Arabidopsis thaliana: one gene and its partner. The protein of the gene in region 2 interacts with the protein of the main gene of each other region in a pairwise test. Each region holds a gene or a part of one and is shown on either strand. Other genes may lie near its edges.

Evidence for each region.
Region 1: the proteins of MGP (region 2) and AT3G49950 interact in binary tests that used the Arabidopsis thaliana proteins (3 or more experiments, as listed by UniProt).

What each region holds. Positions count from the first base shown.
Region 1 is NC_003074.8:18,520,841-18,524,695, reverse strand, and holds AT3G49950 (GRAS family transcription factor), read right to left. Parts: upstream 2,231-3,855; 5' UTR 2,127-2,230; coding exon 894-2,126; 3' UTR 762-893; downstream 1-761. Other genes in the region: AT3G49960 (Peroxidase superfamily protein), read left to right, coding at 1-383. UniProt on the Arabidopsis thaliana protein: Probable transcription factor involved in plant development.
Region 2 is NC_003070.9:966,802-972,423, forward strand, and holds MGP (C2H2 and C2HC zinc fingers superfamily protein), read right to left. Parts: upstream 3,534-5,622; 5' UTR 3,258-3,533; coding exon 3,107-3,257; intron 2,911-3,106; coding exon 2,514-2,910; intron 1,768-2,513; coding exon 795-1,767; 3' UTR 669-794; downstream 1-668. UniProt on the Arabidopsis thaliana protein: Transcription factor that regulates tissue boundaries and asymmetric cell division. Contributes to the sequestration of 'SHORT-ROOT' to the nucleus. Interacts with the SCR and MGP promoters.

The DNA of each region.
Region 1 (3,855 bases), on a different chromosome or scaffold from region 2:
ATTGTGGCAAGGTCTTTAAAAGAATCCACAAATTCAACGGCATCAACTCCGTGGACCCAACTTTAAACAAGGCTTACGCTATTGAGCTTCAAAAGGCTTGTCCTAAGAATGTGGACCCAAGAATTGCAATCAACATGGACCCAGTCACGCCCAAGACGTTTGACAACACTTACTTCAAGAATCTTCAACAAGGCAAAGGTCTCTTCACCTCCGATCAAGTTCTCTTCACGGATGGTCGCTCTAGGCCCACCGTTAATGCTTGGGCCTCAAACTCTACGGCCTTTAACCGCGCTTTTGTGATAGCCATGACCAAACTTGGCCGTGTTGGAGTTAAGAATAGCAGCAATGGAAACATCCGTCGTGATTGTGGTGCGTTTAACTAGAGCTGGTAATGGGAAAATATAAGTTGTCTTATCTCCTATTTTCCTTTCGTTTTATTAATGTTTGAATGTTCATTTTGACGATGAGAAGATATTATTGGTTTTTCATTTGTTTTGTTTATGTCTTCATTTTAAGAAGGCAATTGTATCTGATCCTCTCTACTTTGTATCTCCAACATGTTTATTCTCGCTACAAATTTAAATAACTATATACTATTCAATTTTTCCTATTATAATAAGTTTTCACTGTTATCACTAAGCCTATTCACGGAAAAATATCTATGTAAACTAAAAGTGCTTATGAAGATGTAAAATATGTTTAGTCATAATAACGATTATTTTTCAACGTTAGAATGTTTTGAACTAGTACAAAACAATTGACACTAGATTAGAACAAAAAAAAAAGTTAATAAAAAATATTATTAAATTGTAATTAGATCAGAAATTAAAGCAATGCTATTCTACTATATTAGGTATCCAATTAAAACGCTAATTAAATTAAATCAACCTGATTTAAATGGGAACCCAAACGGTAGCAAACACAACACTATGACCTTTCCACGTCAGCACGAGACTCTCGTCGTCGTCTTCCTTCTTCATTCCCCACCCGACAGCGTGCTCCTCCAGCATCGCCTTCACATCCGCCACCGCATCTTCTTTAACCCTAACTCCACCGAACTCAGCCTCTCTCATTCTCTCTATCCACCGTCTCTTCGTCTCCGTCCTCTCCACTCTCTCCGCACCTTCCTTCGCCACCACGTTTTCTATCTTCCAACTTATCTCCGCCTCGTACCACCGTCTCTGCTCACTCATAAACGTGTCCGTCGTATCGAACGGAATCCAGAAGTAGTTAAACGCCGATTTTAACCGGTTAACCAAGTTCTCCGATGTGAGATCTACGTCTTCTTCGATTAGGGTTACGATTCTTGGATTCAAAGATCGGAGTTGTTTCAAGAAAACTGTTCGGAGCGATGATGATGATGAAGTTAGGGGTTCTTCAGGGATGTAACGGAGCATCATGTGACAGTTAACGACGAGAGCTTCGTTGAATGAAGAAGGATAAATCCGTAACTGTTGTAAGAGGGAGGAGAAGCCATCGGAGTAAGTAGAAGGTACGATTGTGAACTCCATTGTAATGTTTCGTGTGGTGGCGAAGTTGACTAGTTTAGATCCGAGTTCTTCGTAGGAGATGTTGATGAATGGTGGGAAGTGGTCGGAGGAAGAGACGACGGTGAGTTTAAGAAGCGGAGGAGGTTTGTTGAGTCGGCTTGCCATGGCGTCTATAAGAGTAGGGATTTGCATACAATGAGTCAAACTTAAGTCAACGATGTGAACCGTTGAGTAACCTTCAACGGCGGTTAAGATCGCGGCGTTGGCTGCAATGAATCCGAACCGGTGCCACGGAGTGAGGTCTACGAAAGCGGCTAACTCCACGACTGAGAAACGATGGAGTTCATCGGCCTGAGGTAGGAAGCTAATGGTGGATGATAGTGTAGGGGTTTTGGAGACGGCGCGTGAGAGCAACGCGCGGAGGAATGCGGATGTAAGACGTTGGGTGGAGTCACCGTCTGGTGGAGCGATGTTGTTGAGGACCCAGAGGATTTGGTGAGTTAATGCAGCGTCGTTGGAGTCTATGGCGGTGGCGCAGTGAAGGAGGAGCTGTTCCATGAAGTTAGCGTCGCCGCAGCCACGTAAGGGTTTGGGAGAAGGGAATCGGGTCGGGTTGAGAATCCGGGTTTTGGTCATTTGAGTCTGGTTTTAGAGAGAAATGTACGTTTAATCTTGTTATTTTTGTGACACAAGAGGAAACAAAAAGAACAAAAAAAGAGTATAGTAGGGTGGAGACAATGACATGTCCATGATTTTTACGTAAAAGTATTCTGAAAAGTGAAAAATAGAGTGAAAGGAGACAAAGGAGAGGGATGAGGAAAGAAAGAGACGAGACAATAGAGAGAGTCGTGTAAGTATGTCGTAACCTTATCATTGGGAAACGCATCGCTTTGGTCGCTTGTGTTGTGTAAGACAAATATTTGCAAGATCAGCTTTTTTCAATGTATAGAAGATGTGCATATTGCATATGTGTTTATGTATCTCTATACATGTGCAATATGTCTTAAATAGCTAAAATAAGGAATCTTTAGTTAGGTCGGAGGGTGCATTTTATCTCCTATTTAGAGAAAGCATTACATTTTTTTAGTATGATTCACTCGAGTTATTGTAACATAAATATGAACTAGAAGCTGATATTTTTGTTATAGAAAGTATGTATGTGAAGGGGGTGCTTAAAGGTGGGTGACATGTGAAGTGGCAGGTTTGTATTTATGTATATATGTACGGCCGATCAATTTGTCTTCTAGGTGACGATTATTCTCTTTCGCCGCTCTATCGCATTCATCAATAAATCACTGCATACACTTTGGAACAAAAAATAATTTAAATTTATACCTCCATGAATTTGGTCCGTTTGTATGTAGCATTTGGACGTTATTTATTTTATTAAACTCAAAATATGTTTTGAGTCTTCAGATATAATTAAGAAGAAGATTTATTGGCCTTATCTCTTGAGATATATATAAGTCATATAACAATAGACTGATAAAGAAAAGTTATATAGCATTAGACTAAACAAAATGAAAACATGGACTAAACAATCAAACGGCTCCTATGTAGGGATAGGATAAGTATAGTGACAAATCTCATTATCATTATCAGTTTTTTTTCTATGCCTTTGGAAGTAGGTTCATTGCGTATTGGGTATTTTAGGCGCAATATGAAAGCGCTCACAAGGCATGATATTTTCAAGAAAATTGGTTGAGAGATCAAGTACCATCACCTCCAGGAGACATAGACGTTGGGCAGCCTAATGATGTTGTCGCTGTGATGAATTTAAACGAGCTCCATCATAGTTATTGTTGATAGAGATCTAAAATTCCTTCTGGTTCATCGGGATTTTGCCTCGCAAACCTCTGGGCGCACTATAAGGGTTCACAGAGTTGGCTCATAATCAGAATTTTTTCTGTTGATTTTTGCGCATGAAACAACGTGAATAACTCCTCAACGATATTAGCAGCCATCACAAACATCAGAGTATATGCCATTAGCCTCTCCTCTCATAACCATATATGAAATAAACAAATAAGCATACTAATCTCTAAACCAAATTGAACAGAGACATAAAAAACAGAAGACTCATGAATCTTGACCACGTTCCGAGAAATGTCCGTAGATCGATTATGAAAACAAGAGTAGAAATCCCTAGCTAGTTATATTAGGTAGACTTGATAACGCATAACACTTTATTTATTCTGCTTCACCTTTTCGCTAACACTATACACTTTATAGTCCAAGTTACCTTCACGTCTTCTCCTTCACGAACACGTATATGTTTCTCTGTTTCATAAAACTTAAAAACCTACTTGAAACCTAAGGTCTTTCCGTAAAGTCTATTGGGCTTCATCAAAATAATACAAAGTGA
Region 2 (5,622 bases):
AGAGAAAGATCTCCCAAAGACCGACTGAAGATTTGGTCCGTACTAATCAAAGGCCCATAAGTTTAAGCCCATTAAGATTTTCCAGAACCACTAGCAATATTATTACCTAATTTTATTTTATTTTGGTGAGAATTATTATTAGCTATTCTTTAAAGAAAATCTTTTCTCTTTTATTTTTCTATCTCTCTTCATTTTTCATTTCTTAATGTTTTCCTCCACTATGAATTGCCCTGCAAGTTAAGTTTAGAATTATTGAGCTCAAAAGCCTTCATGTTTTTCTTGTGTGCCCACCACTTCTCGATCCACACTTTTTCTATGGCATATATACAAAATACATACAATTGATTAAGTACTTATTTATTTTTAAAAAAGCATATCAAACACCTTTCTACACATAGTGAATATGAATGAATCTTAACTTTTCTTCAACGAAAAAAAAAAAAAAATTCTTCAACGAAAATGCTCATATAATAATACCAATATGTGAATCACACTACATTATACTTGTGTCTAGTGTAGTCTATAAATTGAAAAAATAAAATAAGAAGAGTACTACAAGTATAGACTAGTTGACCTAAATTTAGCAAAAATCTGATGGAAGAGTAAATTTTGAGACGTAGGTGATCATTTTGAATTTGAGAAGATACGATAAATCTAATAACCACAATCGATCGTAAAATTAATTTATGATTTTGGTCTGGTGAAATAAATCATTTTTAAAATTAATTAAAGAAATCAGCTTTGATAATTAAGTTCACTCATAAATAAGGTAGAAAAATCCATTAAAGAGTGTTTCAAATCCATCCATTGATAGAGGAAGAATGGCATATTGTTTGTACACCAACCCCAAGAAAATCCCGAGTTTGCCCTCCTCCTCCCGCATTCCCAATATCAACTCTTCTACGCTTCCAAGGGTAATTCTGTAATTCACCCATCCCCGAAACGACCGTAACGCCGTTTCTAGGGTTCCCGATCTCGTGAAGACCGTTATTATTATTACTCATTAACTCGACACTGTTCGATCCAAACGAAGCAAAGAACCTGTCGCTGCCACCATCTTCTACAATCTGATTACTCTTCGATGCAAAACTCTGAAGATACGCTGATTGGTCGGTAGTAATCGTCGTCGTTGGTGACGTAGAAGAAGTCGCTCCCATCTGAGCAGCTTTTTGGAGTAACGCAGTCGCCGACATATTTGCAACAGCCACAGAAGCAGCGTTTGCGTCTTGGGTAATTTGGTCAACGCTGCTAAAAAGAGAAGGCACGGAAAGAGAAGTTGCCCCGTTAGCGTTTTCCTTACTCTGGACGATATTAATATTATTGTCATGAGTAATGAGTGAATCGCTCGTCGTTATTAACTCGCCGTGATTATTCGCGTTTCCGAAAACCCAATTGTAATCCTCTTGCGGTGAATGCGGCTGCGGCGCCATACGGTCCTCGATGGTCACTTGCTGATGATGATTAATATTTCCTCCCGACCATAAAGAGAGCGTAGACGCTGGTTTCATGACGTCTTGATGATCGAAGTTGTTGGTTGTGATTGGGAATTGGTGGTGGTGATGATGTTGCGGTTGCGGTGGTCCGAACGGAAACGACGGTGGTTGTGGTAGTGATGGTGATGGGATAAGTGTCCCCATGAGATAATGATAGTTTAGATTACTACCAGCGGTTGCGGCAAAGCTTTTGAGATGCGAGGCTGCGTTTAGCCTAGCGGTTTCTTCTGCTAAAGCGTCACAGAACGCTCTATGTGTAATGAAGCTGTCTCTCCTGTTGACCAAATTATACACACCAATAAGATCAATATCGTCTATACACACTCGCTAATTTATGCTTGTGTTTAATATGTATGTATATAGTAATATAGATAGCAATTAAGGAAAAAAAGATAAATAAAGTTGTATATCTTACTTTAACCAAAATATGTCAATCCAAGAAACTGTCTTATTCAAGAAATCAAGCAGCACGTATGCTCAGAGAATGACCAATATGGCAATATCTATACAAAAGTAACTCCAAATTATTTTGTTTTAGACCCTACATGAGCTACTACTTCCAACAAAAAACATGTATCTTATTTACTTACAAATTGTTTCACAAAAAAAAAAAAAAAAATCTTATTTACTTACAAACAACGTGGTAAAACGAAATTTGTTTGTGTGGTCCAGTGGTACAGTAGTGTTAGTTGAGGTAACAGATTCGTTTTTTTTTTGTTTTTCATCATAGTATTCACCCGGTAAAATATAAGCTCTAGCTAGGTTTAGTATGAGTTTTAAGATATGTATATAAGTATATATATATTCTTCCTATATTCTAATATATTCAAACATGATTAACTTTACTGGTTAAGAAGTTAAAATCATATTTGAATCTATATATAATGCAATTAAACATGATATGCGCTTACAGCTAGGTGATCAAAATATTTGTTACGCCACTAAAAATATATGATACCGTGATGAGGAAATGTAAAGATCATCTATTAGTACGTACGTGTGTAGATATACACTAAGTACCTGGAGAAAATTGTACCACAGTCGCATCTATATTCTCTAGTCCCACAAGTCTTGGAATGAGCCTTCCAGTCAGATTGGACTGCATATCTCTTGGCGCATTTCTCACACTTCCACTTTTTCTCGCCATGTTTCCGACAAAAATGTTTCTTAATGCCGGTAAGATCACCAAGTGCCCTCGTCGGATGGTGGTGGACGCAACTCTTTTCTGGACATACATACACTCGTTTCCTTACTTCTTTGCTCGTCCTCTGCTTTAGCTTCCATGGGAGGTTGTGTCCTCGACGGTGAAGCTGTAGATTCTGGTCTCTTTGAAACCCTTTTCCACATATCTCGCAGAGGAAACGATTTGTGGCCATAAGTGTCTTTGGAGATAGAGCTATGACCTCAGCTTCTGGATCTATAGAGAACGAAATATAACAATCAAATTCTGGATACATATTTGATCATGTGAAAGATCTAAACAGTAGAAAGCATGCATGTTTGTAGATCAAGATCGAAAAAAAAAAGAACATGACTTTTCAGCAAACAGAAAAAAAAATGTTGATTAGGGTTGAATTATTTTGTGATCTCTATTAAACTTAATTAATTGTTACCAGGATTTCCAGGGAGGTTTCTCTTCTTCTTGACAAGAGGAGGATTGAGGGATTCATGTTGATCATGATGATGATGATCAACATGATCAGTTGTTGATGAGCTTTGGACATATCCTCCACTACTTGAAATTGTCTGATCTTCAGTTGTCATGTCTTCTTCTTGGACAAAAGTTTTGTTGGAAGAGATTGAAAAGGTAATTAATTAAGTTTTAAATAAGAGATGGAGGATGAGCAAAGGTAATGAAGAGAAAATAAATAGAAATACTTAGAATCTGATGTAGTTATGAATGAGAGGCAAACACAAAAGATAAGTTATATTGGGTGATCACTTTATATATACACCCTACACACTTAAGCCCCATATGTGTACTAAAAAATAATATTCCTCTTTCTTTCAAACAAAAAAATATAAGCACCTTGATCTGTAAGAACTGTCGCAGCTATTGTCATAAATTATTAAACTTTCATATATTTTTCCCATTTTATTTATATTTCGCAGTTAAAAGTTAATGGCGGTGGAAATTAACTATATTTATCTGGAAATATTTGATTATTTGGTTTTTCAGTGGCAGTGCGTCATGACACACACAAAAGTTTCTATGTCTGCCTTTTTCTATTTGGAATGATGATCTCATTATTTCTTTTCTCCGTTCTTTTTTTCATCATCCTCAGGTAAAATTAACTTCTTTAATTGTTCTTCTCCTTATAGTTTCTCTTAATGTTATTTTTAGTAGAAAGTCGTATATAAAGCACAGTCATGGTGTATATAATTTGAGATTTTAATTTGACCGTAAATTGAGGCGGTCAAAGAAGTAAACAGATCCAACGGCGCAGGTCACATCTCTCGTTTATTGTTGAGAACAAAGCCTGCAATGCACGTGTACCCATGCACGTGCTCGTGAGGTAAAATCCAACAACATACGACAACGAAATTAAAAACCTAAATATGCAAAAGAGAATAATCGTCCGGTCGACAGTGAAAACGAAAACCATGCGAACTCTTCCCGTCAAGTACCCCACTTCAAATTTTCGTTTTGATATTCGATTTTCCTTCAAAAAATTGTTAATTTTCCTTTGACAAAAACAAAAAAATTGCTAATTTCGATATTAATAATTGTGAAAAAATTCATGTTTGTGGAATTGAGTATAAGAGAAGTTAGTAGATACGTACGAGTATCTTGTTCATGCTTTTTCTTACAAAGATCTTTTTGCAATGCTCCCTATTCGTCTTTTTCTTTAGCAAACTTTTTCTCGCCCTACAAATGAAAGTATTTTCTAACGTATTTTTTTAAAAAAAAATAGAATCTTAACTTATTTTTAAAAAAGATCAGAACTCGAAATCCCATTAAAAAAAAAAAGATTGAACCAAAAAAGTAATTCTAACCTACTATATATGTGCAAGCTAGTAAATTTTCTCTCGGAGATCATAACTATTATAAACTCATACCAAAATTTTAATTGAAAATTTATTTTGTAGTTTATTATCCTAAGACTGAGCATATGTATCGGAGTTGTATAAACTAGTCTATTATTATTATCGTGTTATAATTTGGATAAAATCCTATATATAAAATAATATTGTAGATGAAAAAAAACGGTAAACAATTCGACCATATCAAAATCTCGATCATATCGATTTTCAAAGAAAAGTAAACTAAATGTGCTTTTTTATTTACCCCTAGCTGAAAGTAAGATAATTATGGTTAGTTAATTAATCGAAAGTACGAAGAGACAGAGAACTGACAAAATGCAGGTGAATTTTTGGAAGGAAGAGAAGTCGTCAGCTTGTGGGCTGACTTAATTACCAATTCTTTAGGTAATTTACACTTTAATCATAATGTAATCATGTTTTAAGATTCCTATAAAATAATAACATTAGTTTAGTGTTTTAGTTTTGGATTTTTCTTCTTGAACTTTGGCGGCACAAGAATATTCCCTTATTTTTCGAGACGTTGTTATAGTATATTATTGTTCCCTTTATATAATCAAGATTTATATACAGATGGGCATTTACACAAATGGGAAACTGGGATTTTTTTTTGTTACTGTAAAGTATAAAGAGATGCGTTCATATGAGTGTATCCAAAAACAAAAATATGTCAATTTTTTTGTTATGTAGAGCTCCTACGTACAAATGAATTTACACGATAATTATCTATTTGAATTTGGTCTATCCCGCTCATATTTAAATAAAGTTCGAATAGTAAATCCTATGTTTCAAGTTTCTAAAGAAATGCTGATTTGAATCTGTACAATATAATTGTAAATTGAGTATAGTTCAAAAAAAATTTGTGAACAATGATGATAGTGGAGATATAACGCATCAACACAAATAAAAAAGTTCAAATTTAGTCAAGAATAATTCTTTGTCTACATTTACATATGTTTCCATGGTCGTCGTTTATATATTTAAACATAGTTCATGAGTTTAAATACATATGAATTATTTTTAATTTAGCTGGCTATATCAATTTCAACATCATATATAAAACTATTGGAGCATTTTTTTTTCTTGC